2 linked regions of the Lonchura striata genome follow. The protein of the gene in region 1 interacts with the protein of each later gene in a pairwise test. Links are inferred from orthologs where the notes say so. Each region holds a gene or a part of one and is shown in the gene's direction. Other genes may lie near its edges.

What was found. The genes of interacting proteins can lie anywhere in the genome.
Region 2: the proteins of GAD1 (region 1) and HAAO interact in a two-hybrid assay, tested with the Homo sapiens proteins (4 studies listed by BioGRID and IntAct). The two-hybrid records come from large-scale screens. The link is inferred for Lonchura striata from reciprocal best matches to the Homo sapiens genes GAD1 and HAAO.

The regions. Positions count from the first base shown.
Region 1 is NC_134610.1:20,102,402-20,112,935, forward strand, and holds the start of GAD1 (glutamate decarboxylase 1), read left to right. Parts: upstream 1-5,798; 5' UTR 5,799-6,095; intron 6,096-7,234; 5' UTR 7,235-7,310; coding exon 7,311-7,380; intron 7,381-9,112; coding exon 9,113-9,175; intron 9,176-10,534.
Region 2 is NC_134605.1:14,236,749-14,246,523, reverse strand, and holds the start of HAAO (3-hydroxyanthranilate 3,4-dioxygenase), read left to right. Parts: upstream 1-5,972; 5' UTR 5,973-6,093; coding exon 6,094-6,173; intron 6,174-9,775. UniProt on the Homo sapiens protein: Catalyzes the oxidative ring opening of 3-hydroxyanthranilate to 2-amino-3-carboxymuconate semialdehyde, which spontaneously cyclizes to quinolinate.

The DNA.
Region 1 (10,534 bases):
TACGAAGAGAGAAGTTATACTTGATTCACTGCTCAGAGCAGTGCTGTACTTTATCTCCTGTGTATTCGCTTTTAAAATTTTGTTATGGCTAAACTGTTAAAGATAGCATTGTGGAGGCTCTCAGTTCAGCCAAAGAGAGAACAAAGGATTCTCCCAGGCTTCAGGCCTGGGAAACTTGGAGAGAAAGAATTTAAACAATTATTATCTCTCTTTCTGTTCATGTTGTTTATAGATACGTTCTACCACAGTGTGCTATTCATGGATCACCAGTAGTGTGAAAGGTTTTTACTTTGAGACCAATGAAGTCTCACTTTAGCAATCCTAGTTATAAAAAGACACTACTTCTTAATAATAAGCCTTCTTTTTCACCTTCTGTAACTTAAAATAATTTAATCCCATCGCTACTCAACAACATTCAACGTGGCTAAGTTCTGTTTCTTGTTCTAGTGCTGAGTTAATGTTGTTCCAGATGACAGCAGCTCTGTTTTTTCCTGTGGTTGTATTCTTCAAGTGCAACTATCAGAATACCATTAACAGGAGTCAAGAGCATTAGGTAAGTGTGTGCTTGCACAGAAGTTTTGAAAGGCCAAAGGAGACAAGATTTTATTGCATAAATAGATTGGAATATGTGTCTGTAAAAACTCTAATCTGATTTTTCTGTCTGGGAGATGTCTCCAATTTGAATTACCTATCTCTTAATCTGGGAGAAGTGGTTTTGTCCTTAAAAATGCCCCTCAATATTTTCATAATCTTCCATACTTGTACTGAATAGAGAAGCCCGTGTAACTAATGATTGCTTTGCTTAAAGTTCATGCACATTTCTATTACCTCCAAATAGGAATCTGTTAGTTGTAAAAATGCTAGTGAAATCCATTTGAAATAGGGAAGATTAACTACTCAGTCTAACAGAGAGAAAGGATTTTTTTTCTTACCTGTCCATCTGTTTTTTTCTGGTGGACCAACATGTCTTGGTAGACAAGCAAATATCACTCTACTTTTCAGAGTGCAGTGTGCCTGTTATCCATCTTTGTAGCTGTTCCTACCATTCTGTTTGTGTTTCTGTGCTTTGATTGCCCTGTGTTAAAAAATGTAAGTATTGGTGCTTTGTTTAAATTCTGTATTTCAATCAGGTGCACTTAACCTTCCATTTTGGAAACTATTTTTATTTCTGTTTCTGTAATGTTGTAGCTAAAAAGAAACCAGAGGAAGGAAGGGTTTCAAATGCAGTGCTGCGGGAAATCTGCTATTTCACCAGTACTGATGGCTATCCAGGGCAAACTAACTGACTTATCCAGGACAAAACCTGACTTATCCACCACAGAGGAAAGAGGAGGGGAAAGGGGGAAAAAATAAAACTAAATAAACAAAAACCAAAACCAAAAGAAACAAAAACCCAAAACAACCAACCAAAACAAAAAATCCTAGCTAAAATCACAACTCTAATGATCCCAAAAACTTTTGAGACTTGCAAAGCCAATACCTGAAACTCAGTTATTAACTGAGAAGTGTTTTTTTTAAACTAACAGAAAAGCCCATGCTTTTTGTTTCTTGAGGATTATTTGTGAAATATGCTTAATTTAAACAATCGTGTGTTAAAAAATCCCAGAATCCAGCTCTCCAAATTTGTTCTGAGATTGTGCAGTTTGACTCTCCAATCTTCTGCAGCAGCATTCCTGAAACTGCTGAATGTTCTCATTGTAAACTAATGCCCTCCTCTGGGATAAAATATATAATTCAGTGATATGTATCAATTATAATATCATAAGGGGAAAAATATCCAGGCATTAGCTGTTTGGGCTCTACAGGGTTACTGGGGGAGGTGGGAAATAAATTTCCTTTCAGACACAGGGTAAATTGCAACCTCCTAAAACTGGTAGAGAGTGTACACTTACTGGTGTACTATCACTTGTGTTACTCTTTCAAGTTGCAATCACAGTTACCTAACTTAAGTAATTTGTTTGATCCATCTAGATAAAAAAGGTTTTATTTTGTTACAGCTTGGAAGTAAGGGAACTCTCTTTCTTTCTATGTTTGCTTGGGGGTATTGGGAGTTGGGATTTTCCACTGCTATTGTTTCAGGATGTGGGTTGTTCTTTGGGATGTTTTTCAGATGAAGCAGATCAAAATGGACAACAAGACATGCCAGCATGGATCAGGAAGGGGACATCCTGAAACAAGAAGCCACAAAGTATGTAAAACAATGTGCTTCAGATTAGACTTTTCTAAATGCCCTTCATCACAGCAGTGCTGAATGTTCTGTCTGGCAGTTCATATTGAGCTGTCTTTGAAATTCGAGTGATGTACATGATCCTTAAATATGGGCCAGTTGGGTACATCAGTACTGACTGTTCATAAACCCAAAGCAAACACATCATTCATCTTCTATTAGTTTTTGTCAAGTTATAGAGAACAGCAAAAGTTATCTGTAGCATAGGAGTATAAATCCACAGTCTTCACCAAATTTCCATTTGTAGAATTTTCTGGACAGGGCCAAGTAATCCAAATAATCGGAGCACTAATTTGTTATTTTTTCTCTTGGCATGTTCATTTTTTTTCATTACAGATATACAGGAATTTATTATCTGTATTTTTAAGTACCAAAGATGATAGCCACAAAAGTTTTGAAAAACTTAATTTTGAACAATTTTCCAATTTTTCTATGTCAAGAGTTAATGAAATTTATTATTTAAATGATTCCATTTTATGTAAGATACAGGTAAGGTAGACATTTTTGTATACCAGGAATTGTAGGAAAAGAAAGAGATACTGAATGCAATAAATATAATTTGTAATAATGTACTGGATTAAAAATTATAGCTGTATTACTAAAAAGAAAAAGAAAACCTCACAGGCTGCAAAGACAAAAATACAAACCCTCAGGTCCAGAAACACCACAGATGTTCTCTGTACTTACTGTTGTATACAGTTTCAAAGAAAGAATTTGCCTAATCCCAGCCTGCTAAAATATTCGTAATCCACACAAAATGGCAATTAAAAGGCAACACAGAGAATTCATGGAGGGAACCCCCCACAATAATAATAATAATCACCAGAAGTCAAATTTGTTTTCTGCCTGCAGATAAATGCATATATAACATGACTATAGTTCAGAATATGAAGAAATAAGAAGCGTTAGGGCACTGGGATTTTTCTCTATTTGCCTCTCCATTGTCATCTATCTATATTGTGACCTCCTTACCGTGTAGGCAGGAGGTGCTCATCTCTCTTAAAATATTGTATGCAGCTCCAAACACAGTGACTATTCAAATCTACAGGTTGCAATACAAATAGTGGGGTTTTTTTTCCTGCTTGACAGTCATTGTTTATATGTCCACATCTATAAAAACTATATAATTATTGAGTAGTCTTTGTTGCTAAATATATTTATTGCATCACGTTCATTCCTTTGCACACTCAGGGTATTCAGGATTCATATTTTAGCATGTGCCGTTTGTGGATGGAGGTGAATTCAAGAAATACCCCAGGCCTGGCTATTTAAAGTGAGTTCTAGTTGATGTGCTGCTTACAGGCTTCAGCTAAGGGAATTACATATCTTCATCCTACTGTCTTGCTGATACCACGCATCAATGGTTTTTTCTGCGTGTTTCACATCATCAGTAAACATCTGGATTCAAAGCAAAGCCAAAGTCTTCTGGATCCCCAGCTACGAAGATATTCTCTCTAACCTGTGCCTAGAGTGCACTGGAGCAGTAGACTCAGGGAAGGGACAGTCACGTGCAAGGAGAAAAGAGCAGATTGCTGGAGGAGCACAGCTGGAGGGGAAGACTTTGAACTCTCTCGGTGAAAGCGGCACATCTCTGAGTGCCCGAGCCTGGGCGTGTACACCTGGCAAGGATGTTTCAAAGATTTCAATGGTTGTGGCGAGTTCTGAATGAAGTCGCTGAGCTGGAGTAGTTCGGGTTTAGGTCGGTTTTTCAAGCAGGTCCGTTGCAAATGAAAATTAGCAAGCGTTTCCAGGCGTGCTGTACAGCCACGCTGTAGATGAGCGAGGGAGGGACGCGCGGAGCCCCAGGGTTTGCTGCTTTTCCCTTGCCGCCGCCGGGGCCAGGACGAATAGACCGTGGTGAGCGCGGGCTCGGAGCAGCCGCAGCCGCGGCCGGGCGTCTGCGCAGGGCTTTGCGGAGCGTCTGGGCTTGAGAGGCAGCGCCACCCAGAGGGGCCGAGAGGCGGGGAGCGGGGCCGGGCCCGTGGGGCTCGCTCTCGGCGTGCTCCTGCACGGCCGGGAGGCAGCGAGCGCTCCGCACACCGCCCGGGCCGTGCGAGGCTGCAGCCCGCGCCCCCGAGCGCGCCGCTCACCCTGCCGGGGCTGCGCGGCCGGGCCGGAGCGGCCGCTGTCCGAGGTGCTGAGCGGAGAGCCGGGAGCGCCGGGCTCCTCGAGGTGCTGGAAAGTGCGGGTCTCAGATTCTACGAGGATGTAAATATCTATGTTAAACCATGTCTGTTTACTCCGGACACACGCGCTTCTGGAAAGCCAGAAGGAAAGGAAAAATTTGTGTGTCGGGAATACACCCAGCCGGGTCGTGCCTCAAAGTGACTGATGGCTTAGGGGTTCTTTGTGTGGTCGTTCGTTGACTTTTTGTATTGCAGTCCTGCCATTACTTCCTTTGAACGTTTGTTTACATTATAAAGACTATTAGTTACAGTTATATTATTATTACTTCCACTCTGCACTGAGCAATTGTCTTGCTCAATTGGTTGAAACCAGCTTTAAAATGATAGTCTAGATACGAGAAAAGGTCATGTTAGCTAGGGCCATTAATATCTGTAAAGCTATGTTTAAAAACTGGCCTTTGTGCTGTCGGTGTTTTTGTTATATGTCCAGTTCCTAGAGAGCAAGTGTGCTTGACAAAGCAGTTGTCTTGGCTACTTAATACTGTCTGTCGGATGGTTTCCTTTACCAAACGGGCTTGTAAGTTTTTGCTTTTGCCTCGAGTCCTTCAGAAAGGACACAGCCCTGATGCTCATTGCACTGCCTAGCATCTACTGCATAAGATGAAATTCTCTGGCTCCATCAGACTGTTTCCCCTCCTCTCTTCTTATTGCGGATTCCTCCCAGCCCCTTATGTGGCATCTTTTTGAGAAGGGTTTGATTTAGGCATCTGCATAGCTACCGTGACATGCTGAAATACAGCACCGTGGTCACAACCATAAAATGTTGGCTAAGCATATTCAGGGTGTGGGATAGAGTAACGCAGACATGGGGTTGTCAGGGGTATGAAAAGCTCGTTATCTTAATGTTTCTGGTTTTAGCAAAGGGATGTCTGGTATAAAATCGTAATCTAAGGGTAAGTCACAGGCATCCAGGTGTTCCCCTTCAGCGGTACCCGTGCCTCTGCCACCCTCTGGCGGGGAGGAGCGGGGCGAGCCGCGGGAACCACGGACTGAGCCAGCGGGTCACATCAGACCCTCAGCACGGCGGAGCGGGGGACAGGGGGTGTTGCTAAGCTACAATTCACACGAACCCCGCCCGGCTCATTCGAGTCTCGCACCATGCTCAGGGAAAGGCCGGGACGGGAGTTCGGCCGCGTCGCCTCACCGGTGCGCCGATGTGTACGGTGCCTATTAGCACAGCTGGCGACCTCGGGTCAAGCCGGTGCTGTCTAGGGGAAACCTCTGGATCCATCCGCACGAGGTGCTCGACGAGGGGCTCGCACGGCAGAACCGCCTGCCTGGGGTGCCGCCCCTGCCGCGGCTGGACAGCCCCACCCGCCGCGGGAGTCAGCCCCGCCGCCCCGGGGCGAAGCAGACCAGCGACAGCAGCCGGGGCCGGTGGGCCGCCCTTCCCCGCCCCAGCCGGCCGCCCCAGCGGTCCCCAGCCCCCGTGCGGAGTGGAGGCGGTGGCGGCAGTCCTGTGACTCATGCCTGCGTCGAAGCAGATCAACTGGCGATTCACGCTTTTAAAAAAGCAAATCCGAGCACTTCTGGGAAAAAAGGTCATCTCGCATTAAATTCCGCGGCGCGATTGATATTCCGACGTCGTTTCTGGCAGAGTTTATAAGCGGCGGGTCGCTCCCAGGCTAGAGTCGTCCTGCCAACCTGGACTACGGCAATAAGAGTGTGCGCTCGCCTCCTCGGTAAGTGTCCTCTAAACAGCATCCTGGGGTTTTTTCAAGCCTTTGGGAACCTCTGGAGCATTTTTTCTCCCACAAATCGGTTTTGGTCGCTGTCGTATGAATAGAGGAATAACGGGTTTTTTTGATACCGCCCTAGACATAGTGTTAACCTGTTACTTCACTTCTAGGCATTGTCTAGAAAATATCTTCTGCTTATGGCTGTTTTCTTTCTCGTCTTAAAAAATTTACCTACCTGTTCTCCATTGAAATCATTGATCCGTTGCGTTTACACGCGGGTGTAAATCCACCCAGCAGTGGAAATGAATCGGTAGCTACCGATTTGAAAAAAGCCGCTAACAAAGAAAGCGTTCTTTCGTTACCGCGACCTTCATTTTCTTTACAAGGAGAAGAAAATAAATCGCAGGTAGACGTGGGGACAAAGAGACGAGCTGGGCAGTGACCCGGCAATTCTCGATCAGCGACCCTGTATTGGTTATCGGAACGCCGTGTCCGCCAGGAAAGAGCTGAACATCTGGCGAGGAGAGAGGGCTGCTCCTACTCCTTCCCTTCCCCAGACAGACATGCCTCTCCTGCCATTTGCGCCGCAAAAGCGAGCACGGGCACGGGAGATCGCTGGTTAGTGCTGGAGCACAGAGTGGCCCCGGTTTGCTGAAACATGTGTGTGTAAATTCACATGTATGTGGCGCCTGTCATTGGACCTGGGCAAAACGCACCTTTGTTGTGGCGGGGTTTTGTCTGTCAGTCTTTCCTGAATGCTCAGCCTGACGTGTGTTTGGTAAAGCCCAGAAGCGGGCTGTGTTTGGGATTGTAGGTCGTTTGGGCTGGTGATTTCGAAGTCCGCTTTGCACGTTGGTCTCCATTTGATGCGAGCCGTATAACTGCCCTGCTCAGTGGCCACCGATATAATTGCTATAGGCTTCATGCTCTGCTAAATCCGTCATTCAGGCGCGGGGGGTAGCGCCCTGGAATCTAGGGAAGGGAAGATTTTGCTCTTCAGTCTGTCGAGGCATTTTCCCGGTTCGGCCGGTCCTGCCGCCGCCTCGGGACCTGCGCGGCTGCCGCCCGCTGACGTCTAGACGGGACTCTGGTGCGGTGCTCCAGGAGACTAGACTACTAAACCCGCCTGTTCTTCCTTCCAGCAAATTCCTTGCTGCCCACCCCTCAGAGGAATATCGAGGAAATACGAGCTCCGAGGACCGGGGCTTTTCTGAAGGGATGGCTTCCTCTGCTCCCTCGTCCTCCAACGATGCTCCGGACCCCACCCCACCTAATCTGCGACCTACAAGTAGGTTTTGCTATTTTCCTCGTTTTAAGTGTTTTGGAGGCTTTCTCCATTTAGGCTCAGAAAGACCAGTTTCGAAACGAAATGATACATCTATGAAGCCTTGTTCCGCGCCATTAAGCAAGGTGCGGAAAGTGCTCTACACAAAGAAACCATCTTCCTATTGGGAACAGGAGAGGTCGGTCCGTGGCGAGTAAAACGCTGTGAGGAAAAGCCCACCTTACTGGCCAACGTTGTCTTTATCTTACAAACACGTTTGAGAGATACAGGCAATAAACTGACCTCCCAGATGAACAACAAAATCGGGATGTTGGAAGGGGTGAGGAGAAAACAAATCAGTTAAAGGGCGAAGTTACACCAGGGTATTAAAGCAGGTGTCTCCCAGCTACATTTTATAAATGCTAATGCTGCAGCTTCTTTTCAGCCTACGCTGAAGCCTGTAATCAAGCGAAATTTGGATGCTAATTGCAGCTTTTCAAAGCGTTATATTCCTAATTGCTCTGAATTCGCCTTGAGTTATTGAGGTGTGAGTGGGAAGCAGAGGCTGCTGCAGGTGGATAGAGAATCAGTTTATAAGCCCTGCCAGGCAGTTCAGACCATTGCCTACAGGAAAAAAAAATTAAAACCCGAACAATAAGAGGCTCGATGTTATGAAGCATCAGAGACAAAGAGCGGGCCAACACTAAGAAATGATAGGTTGTCAGGGACAGCAGAGCAGGTAATAGCTTTTACCCTGAAAGCAGTCCGAGACACGGAGCATCGGAGTCATTATTGTCATTATTCTGAAACTGGAAAAAACGGGAAAGGGGGCGAACGGCAGAACTGGGTCTTGTTTCAGGCGCGCGTGGCAGGCACTGCTGCCTTCGACTGAGGTGTCACACAGAGAAATCGAATTAATTGGCAACACAGCTAAAACAAAGATAACCGCTGGCAGCAGCATCCTGCCCTGCCCACACGGGCTCCCCACCCCCGGGCGCGGGCAGCGCCCCTGCCGAGAGGGTCCCTCCGCGCGGTCGGGAGCGCCTTGGCTCTTCCCCCTCCCCGAGAGTCAGGCCGCTGCCTCCGTGCTTGGGTGAGCCGTCTGAAACCTTCTCCCCCCACGCCACGTCAGCCACCCCCGGCCCCCGCTCGCCCTCTGGGTCCGTCGCTACTGGACTTGCGGCTGCCCCGTGCCGTGAGCGACGAACGGGAGAGGCTCGGTAGTGCCTGTGGCCGCGGCTGGCGCACCCTCCACCTCGGTCCTGGGCTTCGTTCCCCGCTTCCCGTGGGCTCAGCTGGGGCCGACCGGGGCGTGTCCGAGCCACGACTCGAGGGGCTGGGAATCAGCCTGTTCCCTCTGGGGGTGCGGTCCCAGTAGGGCCGTCGGGTGCCCCGTCAGTCCGTCCGAGGCTCAATGATGCGAGTCCGATCATCTAGTCAAATACTATTTTTCACCCAATTAATTCCTGAACTCTTTTGTGACCCCATTTCACGCCACTTTATTTTAAGCTGCTGCTTCCCTGGAGCCCCGCCAGTAAATGATGAGATGTCGGGTCCCGGGTGCCTTCGCCTCTCCTCTGGGCAGGCCAGCATGTCACCTCGCTGTCGTTCGAGCCTCAGCTGCCCCGCGCCCAGCGCCGCCGGGCTCGGTGTCAGCCGTTTCTCACGGCTATGGAGCCGTGCGGGGGACCGGGGTGGGGCGCGGCGGCCGGACAGCCCCGCCGCCCCAGGGGAACAACTCTGCTCTCTCTTCCAGCTTACGACTCATGGTGCGGCGTGGCTCACGGGTGCACCAGGAAGATCGGGCTGAAGATATGCGGTAAGTGCGGCCGTGCCTCCCCGTACGACACCCCGCACACCCACGCGTGACGACGCGGTCGCCCCAGCGGGGGCAGCCCCGGCCGCCCGCCGGCCCTGGCTCGGCCGCCCCCTGCCGGCCGCAGGGCGGCTCCGCGGCCCCGGCCCCGCCGCTGTGCCCTCCCGTGGGCCGTCCGCGGCCGAGGTTCTGTCCGCCGGGGGAGGGACGGCGGCGGCCCCGCTGCCCCTCCTGCCACATACGGGCTCCGGGCGAAGAAAGCTCAGGACCCGCCGGAGAGGCCGGAGGAAAACCGGGGGGTGGGGGGCCGGTTCGCCGCCTCTCACTGTCTGGGATTTTTCAGCCTTATCTGACTAGAAAATACGGATCTCCTGGGAAAAAAAAAAAAAAGATTAACGAGAGCCTTATTAAAGAGCAATTCGTCAGCTTGCTGTTCTGGTAAGATAGCGCTGGCAGCCAGTCAGCGCTCAGGCACATGAAATGCAGAAGGGAAACAAATGCACAATCGGATCGCAACGTTATAGCAAGAGATTCATTTGCAGATAACAAGCTGTCTTCCTTCTCTAGATATCTCAGTAGCGCCTTCGCTTTCAGAGACTAACAGTCAAATCTTTATATTCTGATGGGGGAATCATTCCGTTTAGCCCATACCCCTTACGCATAGAAATTATTTTCTCTTTTCCCCCTCTGTCTCTTTTGAGGGGATGGGAAATATGTCGTGGGAGAAACTAACCTCTTTTCGATGCAAAGGAGCATTTAAACCTCTTTCCCTGCTTGGTCGAGGCGAAGTTCATTCATTAAGCGTTTTGTCACCTGGAAGTTTGAACGGAAAAAGAATCAGGGTGCAAATGTTTAGCCCTGTGTCTGTGAGAGATTTCACTGGTAGCCGCTGGCGACATTAACGAGTAGTCGCTCAGTTCTATAAATAGCTCCTGATCTGGGTTTAATGGACCATTTCCCTACCAGTCCCCTCAGTGGCTGGAGCGATCGGCATTTTCACCATCATTTTAATTTAGCCCGGCAAGCAGAACTGATAAAGTAACGCGCATTTAGGCTTGCTCCGTGTTGCTAGACTACGGGGGTTAGAGAAGGACAGCGCCGCTTCTCTCAATGAGCTCAAATACTTGAAAATTGAATATCCCACCATTTTGGATTTGAGAAGGACATAAGAGAGTGTAGTGAAGGCTTTGTGAAGGGAGTTCAAGACAGGCTGTATTTCTGGTTGTGGTTTCTTGCTCAGTTTTCCTTTACTGGTTCTTTTCTGTTTTATACGAAGAATATACTCTGAATAGTGAGCAATGCCGTTTTGGAATACTCAGATTTGATCAGGACCACTGTTTTTGCTTGTATGGGCTCTCCCAT
Region 2 (9,775 bases), on another chromosome or scaffold:
CATTAGAGCATTACCCAACAAATCAGGACCAATATGCCTAATAAAAGAACAACTTAATGTAATAAAAAACTACATTCTTCTTATAAGTTTGTAACACACCTAATTTTGAGGAAAAATTTGCAAATGCAAGCAAGAGGCCGAGGCCCTCCTCATTTCACCTCACCAGAGCTGCTGCAGCCATGCTGAAACCCAGCTCAGCTTCACACAAGAAGCTCCTCACACACCCTGGAGATAACCTGCCCAGGTCCAACTTTCATCCCTTCCCGGGGGCACACAGGTCACCTCCTTCCACAGCAGCCCCTGGGGAAGGGACTGAGGGGAATCACTGAGCTCACCCCAGCGTGGCACTCTTCCTGCCCGGGCCAGCCCCTCTACAGCCCTGCCATGGAGGGGTGGGAAGAGACCCGCCACAGCCAGCAGCACCAGGGCTCCCCACAGCGCACAGCCCTGCCTCCACGGGAAGGTCTCGTGCTTCAGCAGCCCATCACTTTATGTACTAAACAGCCATCAGATAAACCACATGCTCATTTTCTTGGGATTTCCAGTCAATCCACATAAATTGTGCTGATCTAGCATGACTTTCAGTGTAAAATGCCTATCTTGGAACATGTTGCCCTTCAGGTGACAGGCACAGGGGCAGAAACTCAAGTCACCTCACAAAGCAATTGTTTCTTTTTCAAGACAAGAATCAGTAAAAGCTGAGGTAAAGACTACGGGGATGAAGGAGATCTTGTGGAGAAGTTCACAGCACTTTATGGTCCCATGCATGTCCTGGCTACTCTCGGGCACCACCATGGAAGCATGTCACAAAATGTGGCAAAAATTCTATAATCACTCGCCCAGCAGGCCAGAGCAAGGCCCAAGATGTCCAACTAGCAGCTCCTCCTTGGCAGGAGGGTGCAGGAGCTGCTGCCTGTTCCTGGAGACCCACCACGGAAGAGGCAAAGGAAGCAGTGCTGCCCCACTCAGTCTCTTAAAAGGTCTCTGTCCAAGGAATGGAGTCCCTCTCCCTTTCTAATGATTTGTAGCTTGGGTTCTTTTTCCCCAGTTACACAAAAACAGCACTTTCATATTTTAGTATTCTCGATACTCCTCTGTACAGTCCTCAGCACTAGGACCAGGATATCCTAGCATGAAGAAAAAAACATGAAACTCACTGCAAGCAAAAGATGAATTTTATTCATTCTTTGATACATTACAGATATCTCTTATCCACTTACATTTCCTTATACCACTATAAGGGATTATCACTCCATCACTGAAAGCTGTCAAGTTAATGTAAAATTCAAAGGGGACAAAGTGCTAACTAAAAGACAGAAAGGATAATTAAGAGCCTTAAAGTGCCACGTCTAGGAGTTAATGCCTGCAGTACAGACAAAGGGCTGATATGGGCAATAGAAACATCTCTGGCTATATGATGTTGAGAACCTCTTTCAACTTTTTGGTATAAATTGCACTGTGAAAGCAGCAGACTAGATATTAACGTAGAGGGGAATTCACAAGATCTGGGCCTAGACATCCACGAAGCTCCCTGCAACTTTCTCCATTACAGAGCTGCCCTTTTCCCATGGCGCCACTGCCTTTCTTGAGTGGAGAAACCAGAAATTATTTGAAGTACTTTCCTTCTTTCAGTGTGCACTTTTTAAGCATTACCCAGGCAATGAATACAGTTACAAAGACTGTCACCACTAAAGGAGGCAAAACAGAGACGTTATCACCATTGAGTCACAGCGACTACACCAGTGGAGCCTTTACTTGCACTCCGTATGAAACAAGGCAATATAAAATAACCTTTATTTCCTATAATTTCGCACTCACAAGCAGCTCGGAGAAGGAACACGCTTGTGTGCAGGGACAGGGTGCCGTGAATCCTGTCCCGCTCAGCGGGGACAAGTGCCTGTGGACACACAGACACAGACACACACACACACACACGCACACACGCACACACGCGCACACACACACACACACACACACACACACACACACACACACGCACACACGCACACACGCACACACGTGGCACGGAGGCACCGGCGCGCCCCGCGGAGCCGCTGCCCGGGCGCGGTGCGCCCCGCTGCAGCGGCCCCACGGTGCCGCCAAGGCTGTTTAATTTTTCTCCGCACTTTTGTCCTTCTCCGTCCGGAGCGCCGCCGGGTCCCAAAAAAAGCCCGTTTCCTCTCCCAAAAAGCTGTGTGCTCCAGGTGAGGCTCGAACTCACAACCTCGGCATTGCTCGGCTTTGTACTGCTGTATAAGTACCGCGCGCTAACCGATTGCGCCACTGGAGCCCTGACACCAACTCGTCCCGAACGCTTTATCAAGGGCTCCCCGGCCCGGCGGGGGAAGGGCGGCGGACTCCCGCCCGCACCGGGCGCTGAGCGGCGGCCCGAAGCCGCCCCGGCTCCGTGCCCGGGCCGCGCCACCCCGTTAGCGGCGCGGGCAAGGCACGACGGAGCTGGCGGACGCCGCAGTGCTCGGGAAAGGCGGCGCCCGCGAGCCAGGGAGAGACGAGCGGCGGCGGGGCCCGGACAAAGCCCGAGCGGCCCGGCCGCCCCGCGGGGTGGGCGGGCCGGAGGCCGCGGGTGCGGCAGAGCCCGGCCCTCCGCCGCCGGGCGGGGCGGGGCGGGGCGGGGCGCCCTGCGGACCGCGGCTGGAGCGCCGCTCGCCGCTCCGTTCGCCGGGGACGAGACGGGCGGAGCTCGGCCCCGGGGCGTGCGGCCCCCGCCTGCCGACGGCCTCGGTAAAGGCTTGGGCCGCTGGGGCTGCCTTCCAGCCCCGCGCTCAGCGGCAGCCGTGGGGTGACGGTGCTCCCTCGGGCATGCTCAGGACCAGGCCGCAGGGAGGAGTAAGCGGTGACTGGCCGGGAATTAATGTTGGTGTCTCCAGCATCGCCGCTGTGTGCGACGCGAGGGGTGCCCAGCACTCTCAAAACAAGTGTTTGTTCAACGCTGTGCGAGCATGGTTAAAGTGTATCTCCAACATGGATTTATCTCTCCTACCTTATGTGGCAAAAAAGATGGTAAACATAACCGGCAGCAGCAGATAATTAAACCCAAGTGTGACTCCACTTCCTCTCTTCCCCCATGATCCCCGTGGTAAATGAGAAGCATCTCCTCTCCATTCAGAGTGTCAGCTCACTTGCCAAGGAACTTTTTCTTCTGATTATATTATTACTGTGGACATTACCTAAAATATATTTCCATTATATGCACCACTGACAGGTGAAGCAGCATGCAACTGCTGTGTGTAATCCTTGATTAAGGTGTCTGGCTTGGCAAGGAGAACTGGCAGCTCATTTCTTGTGAGAAATTTTCCATCATATAGGTGTACCTATGGCATACCAGAAAACAGCAGCAGCCTTCATTACCCTTTACATCATTATGGTAACAAAATAGTCTATACAGCACAAAGATAGCTGTGGGGAGATAAAAAGGTAGTATCAAGAATGTAGATTAAAAAGTATATAGCCCAGTGTCAGTATTTGATTTGTATTCTTTTGTTAACATATTTTTCTTGCTGGATACAAGCTTGTAAATTTAAGTCTCTAATGGGTTTGGTGACTGAGGAAGGTAGAAAAATAGTGTTGTCCAAAATGCAACTTTTTCCAGTAACTCTTTTTTCCTGTACCCTCAATGCAATAAATGAATTATTTTCATGTAACAGTTCTGTGCTTCAGTACTCTTGCACTCCTTTGGCAGCAAAAGGTTACACGTCGAGTCCTTGCCTTTGCATAAAAGGAAAGATCAGGGCCAAAAGGAAGAAACCCCAGGTGCTGGAACAGACTCTGATGGATGTGAAGAGCCATCATGAAGCAGACTAGCAAGAAAAATCCAGGCCCCAGTTAGTTCCTGAGGTGTATGAGATGCACTTACTCGGATGTTGCAGAGACCCGAGTAAGTGCATCACTGGTTCTTATCTTTGCCTCTCCAGTACTCTTCTCAGAAACAGTTTCATAACCTTTCATACCATGCATTTATCTGCATTCCTTAGCTCCACTATTATATGCATGAAGTAGCAATTAACTTCATTTTTCAGAACCTACTGATTTTCGGAAGGTTACAGAAAATGCTACCCTGTGATAATAGCCTCAGTCCTATATTAATGGTGAATTTTGTAAGTGGACTTTGTTTCCTTCCTGAGTAGGTTTAACTGTCAGGTTTTCATACCTCATACCAGCCACAAAATGGATTTATGAGCCTGCAACTGAGAAACTTTCTCTGCAGGTAATAGTACCTTGTATTCTGCCTGGTGGGAAAAAGTGGAGATGAGGGATTAGAACAGTGGTTGTGGACAAGAGCCCTGCAGTTAAGACTGGTACTTTAACACTGTGATGAACAAAGATTGGCTCAATCAGTTCCAGGATCTGTGTTTTTTCCTACTGTGACTCTGTAGAGTCTCTTGGCTTTCCTGCCCAACAAATGGAGTCCTGCTCTGCAATACAAGTTGCTAATGATGAGGGAGAGCTTTACAAAACTATGATCATTAACTAGTGTCTGCACTTCTCCAGTCCTGCCAATCTAGGTTATAAGCCTCTAAGTGAAAGTGCATTTCCAATAGAAGCTCTCTTTCCTTCATAGCTAAGAGCAGAACTGCCAGCAGCCTACAGAACAAAAAGTACCAAAATGTACCTGTCTGTAAGTTCAAAACCAGGCCCTATGTGTTTGCTGTTGAGGTGGTGTCTCACCAACAGAAGCCATTCTGTTGGTAGAAATTTCATGTGTTAAATAAGTGATGTGGCAGTGGTGTTTTGTAATTGAATGAAATAAGAACAACTTTGAGCTTATTTCAGAGGAAATTACAGCTAGTCCCATTGTGATTGTATTAATACAGTGGAACTGTAATCCACATGTGGATCTTTTTATCCAAAAATGAATGGATTTTTTTCCTGTTTTATAAATTACACAGTGAGTTTTAACTAAAGTGCAAAGAAGTGATAGAGACAAAGGTAAAATAGAGTCACTCTTACAAATATTTGATAAAAGCAAAGTATTAGTTCAAAGTCACACTCTGTTGCTTTCTTCTGGTGGAAAATTACAACAGGATGAGTTTAAAAACTCTTAATTTTGTACTGCTCATCGTGCTGAATTTTCAGGCCTGTAGCTGCACTGCTCATATGTGCAAGCCAGGGAGAATGTACTACTCACTTTTAACCAGATAATTTAATCACCTTATACCCATACACATTCACCCACTAAGCACAGCGTAGATAAAAGTAGAAGACTGAGATACATCAAGAGCAAAGTGCTAAGATATTGTAATGTCTTGGGATTTTTTTGTTTGCCCACTCATTTCATGTGTTTGGAGACTGTTTATTGATTTATTTGTTTTTAAAAATTGGAGGTGACAGGGAACAGAGTGAGCAGTCCTAGAGCAACTGTGTAGATCTTGAAGAGCAACTTGTGAGGGAATAAAGACTAATGAAGATCTGGAATGTCTGGTTCTTCTCAGTTACTTATTTGCCTGACAAGTTGATGGCAGTATGCTGTACTTTCCCAAAGGGCACCACAGAATCAGGGTCAGCTCTCCACAAGCCCTGCTATAACATTGGCAGAGCAGATCAAATTAAGATGAGCATTTAGGGACAGCTACTCTTGGTCTTACAAATGCAGGAGACATCTGTATTTTGGCTACTTGGCAAAAGAAGATCCCAGTATTTTCAAACAAATACATATACCACAAACATTCAGCCTTAGAATGTTGAAGGGAGGTTTTGGTATCAGACTTGAAAGGAGTGAATGCCCCAGCCTCACCCATTTTTTCTGACTTCTTTTCTGACTGGCCGTTTTTGTAGAGGTAATGTTCACACTCCAGTAGATGCAGTAAAGAGAATTAAGAAACTTAGTCTCAAAAAAAAAAAAAAAAAAAAATTATATTTTTAAAATACTAGTCAATTATTAGCCAAACTGCTGGAGGATTAGTGCTCCCTATGAAGTAACCTTTGACTGATGAACCTGTCCCTTTTGACACTGAAGCCACCTCTCCTACCAGCCAATCCTCTGAACACTGGGGTTGGAATCACAGGCAGTCTGCTCAAAAAAAAAGCACTCTTCAAATTCTGATATCTTGGGCAAAATTTCAGAGGTGGTGGACCATGGAGCTTCTTGTGAATGTAAGAAAATGGATAGAAGAAAACAAAACTGCCTTTTTGCCACCTGTTTGCAATAAGCTTATGTAAGTAAATGAAGATTTTTTTTTTACCAAGTTATTATATATACAAATATTTCTAGCTATAAGAGGAAGCTGCAAAAATGCATACATTGTAAAGATTAATAAGGAACCATAGTTCATCTCCAGCTGCAGACAGTGCTGTTCCAAAGAAAGCAAGTGAAATCTGACAATAATCTGAGTGCAATAACACAGCAGAATCTGCAAAGATCAACTTGAATACAAGATACTTGTCTCAACTCAAAGTCACTTGTAGGCACGGAGACTGAGTTAAGAGAATTTGTGTCAGGCTCTGTGAAAACAAACTCCTAGTAATCCGAGGAGATGGCATCACATGCAAAACCAAATTACAACCTGAATTAGCTAAAGCTGCTGAGAACCATTCCAACATCACAGAGGAGCCAAAGCTGCAGGAGCAAACAAATTCAGAAGGGTATATCACTGAAAAACAAGGAAAAAGGAAGGGCAGCAGTACCAGAGGATCAGATTTCCAGAGCATTTCCAGATCTGTTAGGGGAGGAGAGTAGAGAGCCTGAAGGCTCCATTTACAGTATTCTGAATGAGAAAACCAGTATAAGGAATAAAAGTGTGGGCATTGTGCAGTTGTATGTATACCTTGCACATGCTCTGTGTCAAAGCTTGTGAACAAATTCCAACGTGTCAGAATATTAACAAGGATTTCTTTGTCAGTGAAGCTGAGGAGAAAATATTTTGTCTAAAACTGTATGCAGAAAGCTTTCATTAGAAAGTATTCTGTCTAAAGAGTGACATAGACCCAGGTTTTATAAAGAAATGAAAAATCATTTTCTTGACTTTAATTTAAAAAAATACTATCTTTACAATTTTAGTCATTAAAAAAGATCAAAAAATATGCTTCTTGCCCTTCCCTTAAGTGCTATCCCTAATGAAAAGCTGAATGGGCAGTAATGTATCAGTGATATTAATTTACATTCACAGGGGCAAAGCTTAATTTTCAAAGCAATGGTTACAAGACAAATAAAAAGCAAAAAATACATCCTTACTGCCATGTCTGTGTTGAAACTACAGCTGTGTGTAGGACTGAAAAATTCTGAAATTTGAATCACTACAAGTGTTCCCATTTCTTTAATTTTCAAAATGGATTTAGGAAGCATTTTATGAAGCATATTCATTTCTGAAGCTTACCAATGATAACAGGAAAATTTTAGTATTTTATATATATGATGTGGAGTTGTGTTATTATATTCCCTATCAGTATGATGAATCTTCTTTGTGTTTACTGCACTGTTCTGTACTGCTTACTAGTAGTTCTTTGTAAACCTTGAGTAAATCTGGAATGTGGCATCTATCGCAGACCTTTGCCCATAAGCATTTTAAGAAGTTACAATAAAATGAGAAACATTTTTCATTATAAAAATTGCATAGTTTAAAACAAAATCTATTTTTCCAACATGGTTTTAGCTTATGTAGGAGAGTAAAACCATCTACTGCATGGATTCTGAGTCTACCACCACCTGCACCTGGTGCTATCTAAATGCTTTCAGGGTTTTCCAAAAGGTTTTAGGTGATTTTTCAAGAAGCAACTAATAGATTTTCAACATTTTTTCAAAGGCTTGATCCTATATGTGCTGAGATGTATCATGCACTCTTCTTACTGTGTCCTACTGCCTCATTGGAAGGCAACCACTTTGAAATTTAGTTACTTACTTTGGTTCAAGGGAGACTTAACAGTTGAAACTTGGTCTCACAGCAGAACAGTAGGGCTTTTGGTATCTAAAGTTATTACAGCTTTCAGGCTTTTATGACATTGTGTTCCCTATATTTGAGAGGATCACAATTTCTAAATACCTATTTGGGATTTCAACACAAAACCTCAATTCCTAAATTACTGCCTATTCAGAGTTTTACCAGAGTCAAGAAAACTATACATCTAATTAAATTTCAGCTCTGACATTATATTTTAATGAAACTATCTTGTAAGTTTAAATGCTTTTTAACCTCAACAATGAGTAATTAACACAAAATCAAACTCCTTGACACAGCTGATTTTTACAGGTACTTCTAAAGCTCTTCTTCTGAGTTCAAAATATGATGCTTACCAAAAGGACTATTAAGTGTGGTCATGGACCCACTGATTCTTTGTAGTCTTATAATGTATTTGAAGGGTTACCTGCTGGTATCATTTTCTTTATGAGGATGAGAAGAGAAATGTAAGATTATGGAAAACTTAATAGTCCATTTATTAGGTTCTCATTCTAACAATAGTAGAGTCAAGGAATTTTCTCATCCATGAAACCTTTACAGTACTCTTAACTGCATTTTGGCAGTCTTAACTGAAATTTTTCTTTGCTATGATATTTCATAACAATAAATAATTGTTAAATAGAACAATATTTAAAGCAATTATATTAACCAGACAACTTTATTTAGCAAGGTGGACAAACTTACCTATTGAAGTTCCTGGTCATATTTCATAGCTGGATTTTTTTGATGGTGTCAGTATACATTTGTTAATGATTGAATGATTAACCTATAGCCTGTTTATTATATAAAGTCCAGGTAAATCTGTGGGGTAAATAAACATAGATTTGCCAAATTAGGAAGTCAAGCAGTAATTGCTTTATAGCAGTATTTTCACTTTTACTTAGTGAACTAATAACAAAACTAATAACAAATAACAAATAACAAATAACAAATAACAAATAACTAATAACAAAACTGTCTATTAAGAAAAACCTAACCCATTTTAACAGTAGATTACAAGGTATTCACAGATTGCCTTTCTCTTATTCTATTCTTCAGTGTTGATTTGCATTTATTTCATTAATTATTATCTGTATTGCTGCTGTTTGTGTCATCCTGCCCTTCTTTAGTAGAAGTGTTCATTAATGCAGAAGCATTACAGTGTGCTGTTGAAAATTAATATTAAATCGGCATGGTACAAACAATTAGGATTTCAGTTCCTTATTTTATGGTACAGATATGAAGCCCAGTGATATAAAATATACAGCTTCCTATGCAGAGAGCAGTCATTCTAATTCTTTAGTTTTACTTGACCAACTAATTTGTCACTGTTACTTGTTATGTCTGCATTACTAGACCTCACTGTGTTGGTTATTATCATTTAAATACTCTTTACAGAAAAAGTGATAACGGTAGCAGACTGAATATGTATGTGCCACCACTCAAACCAGCCTCTCTCAATTAAGGCTTACAAGGTGATGACACAGGGACAAGTTGCTGTTGTTCCCTGTGTTTCAGGGGATCATGGCCCTGCTGGTTCCATGTTACTGCCCAGAACCTCCTCATTGCAAAGCAGAGGTTAATACACCTCAGTTCACTTGGCAAACAGCAGGCAAACAAATTTTGATTCACAGCTAACAGGCCCTGATTTTGAGGGGTTTGTTTATCAAAGGAAAAACTACTACCTTACCTTTTTATTAGTGTGAGTGGACTGATAGGTAATTGGGGTGATAGCCATTCCTTGTGATAGCTGAGAGGAGTGCTCACTAGGGCTCTTAAGAGCGGCAGAGTTAAGAAATGGCCTGGAATCTTCTTTTCGGAAATAGCCACAACCAAAATGAAACCATTGTAATGTTATTCCAGCTTAGCAAAACCAGTATAAACAG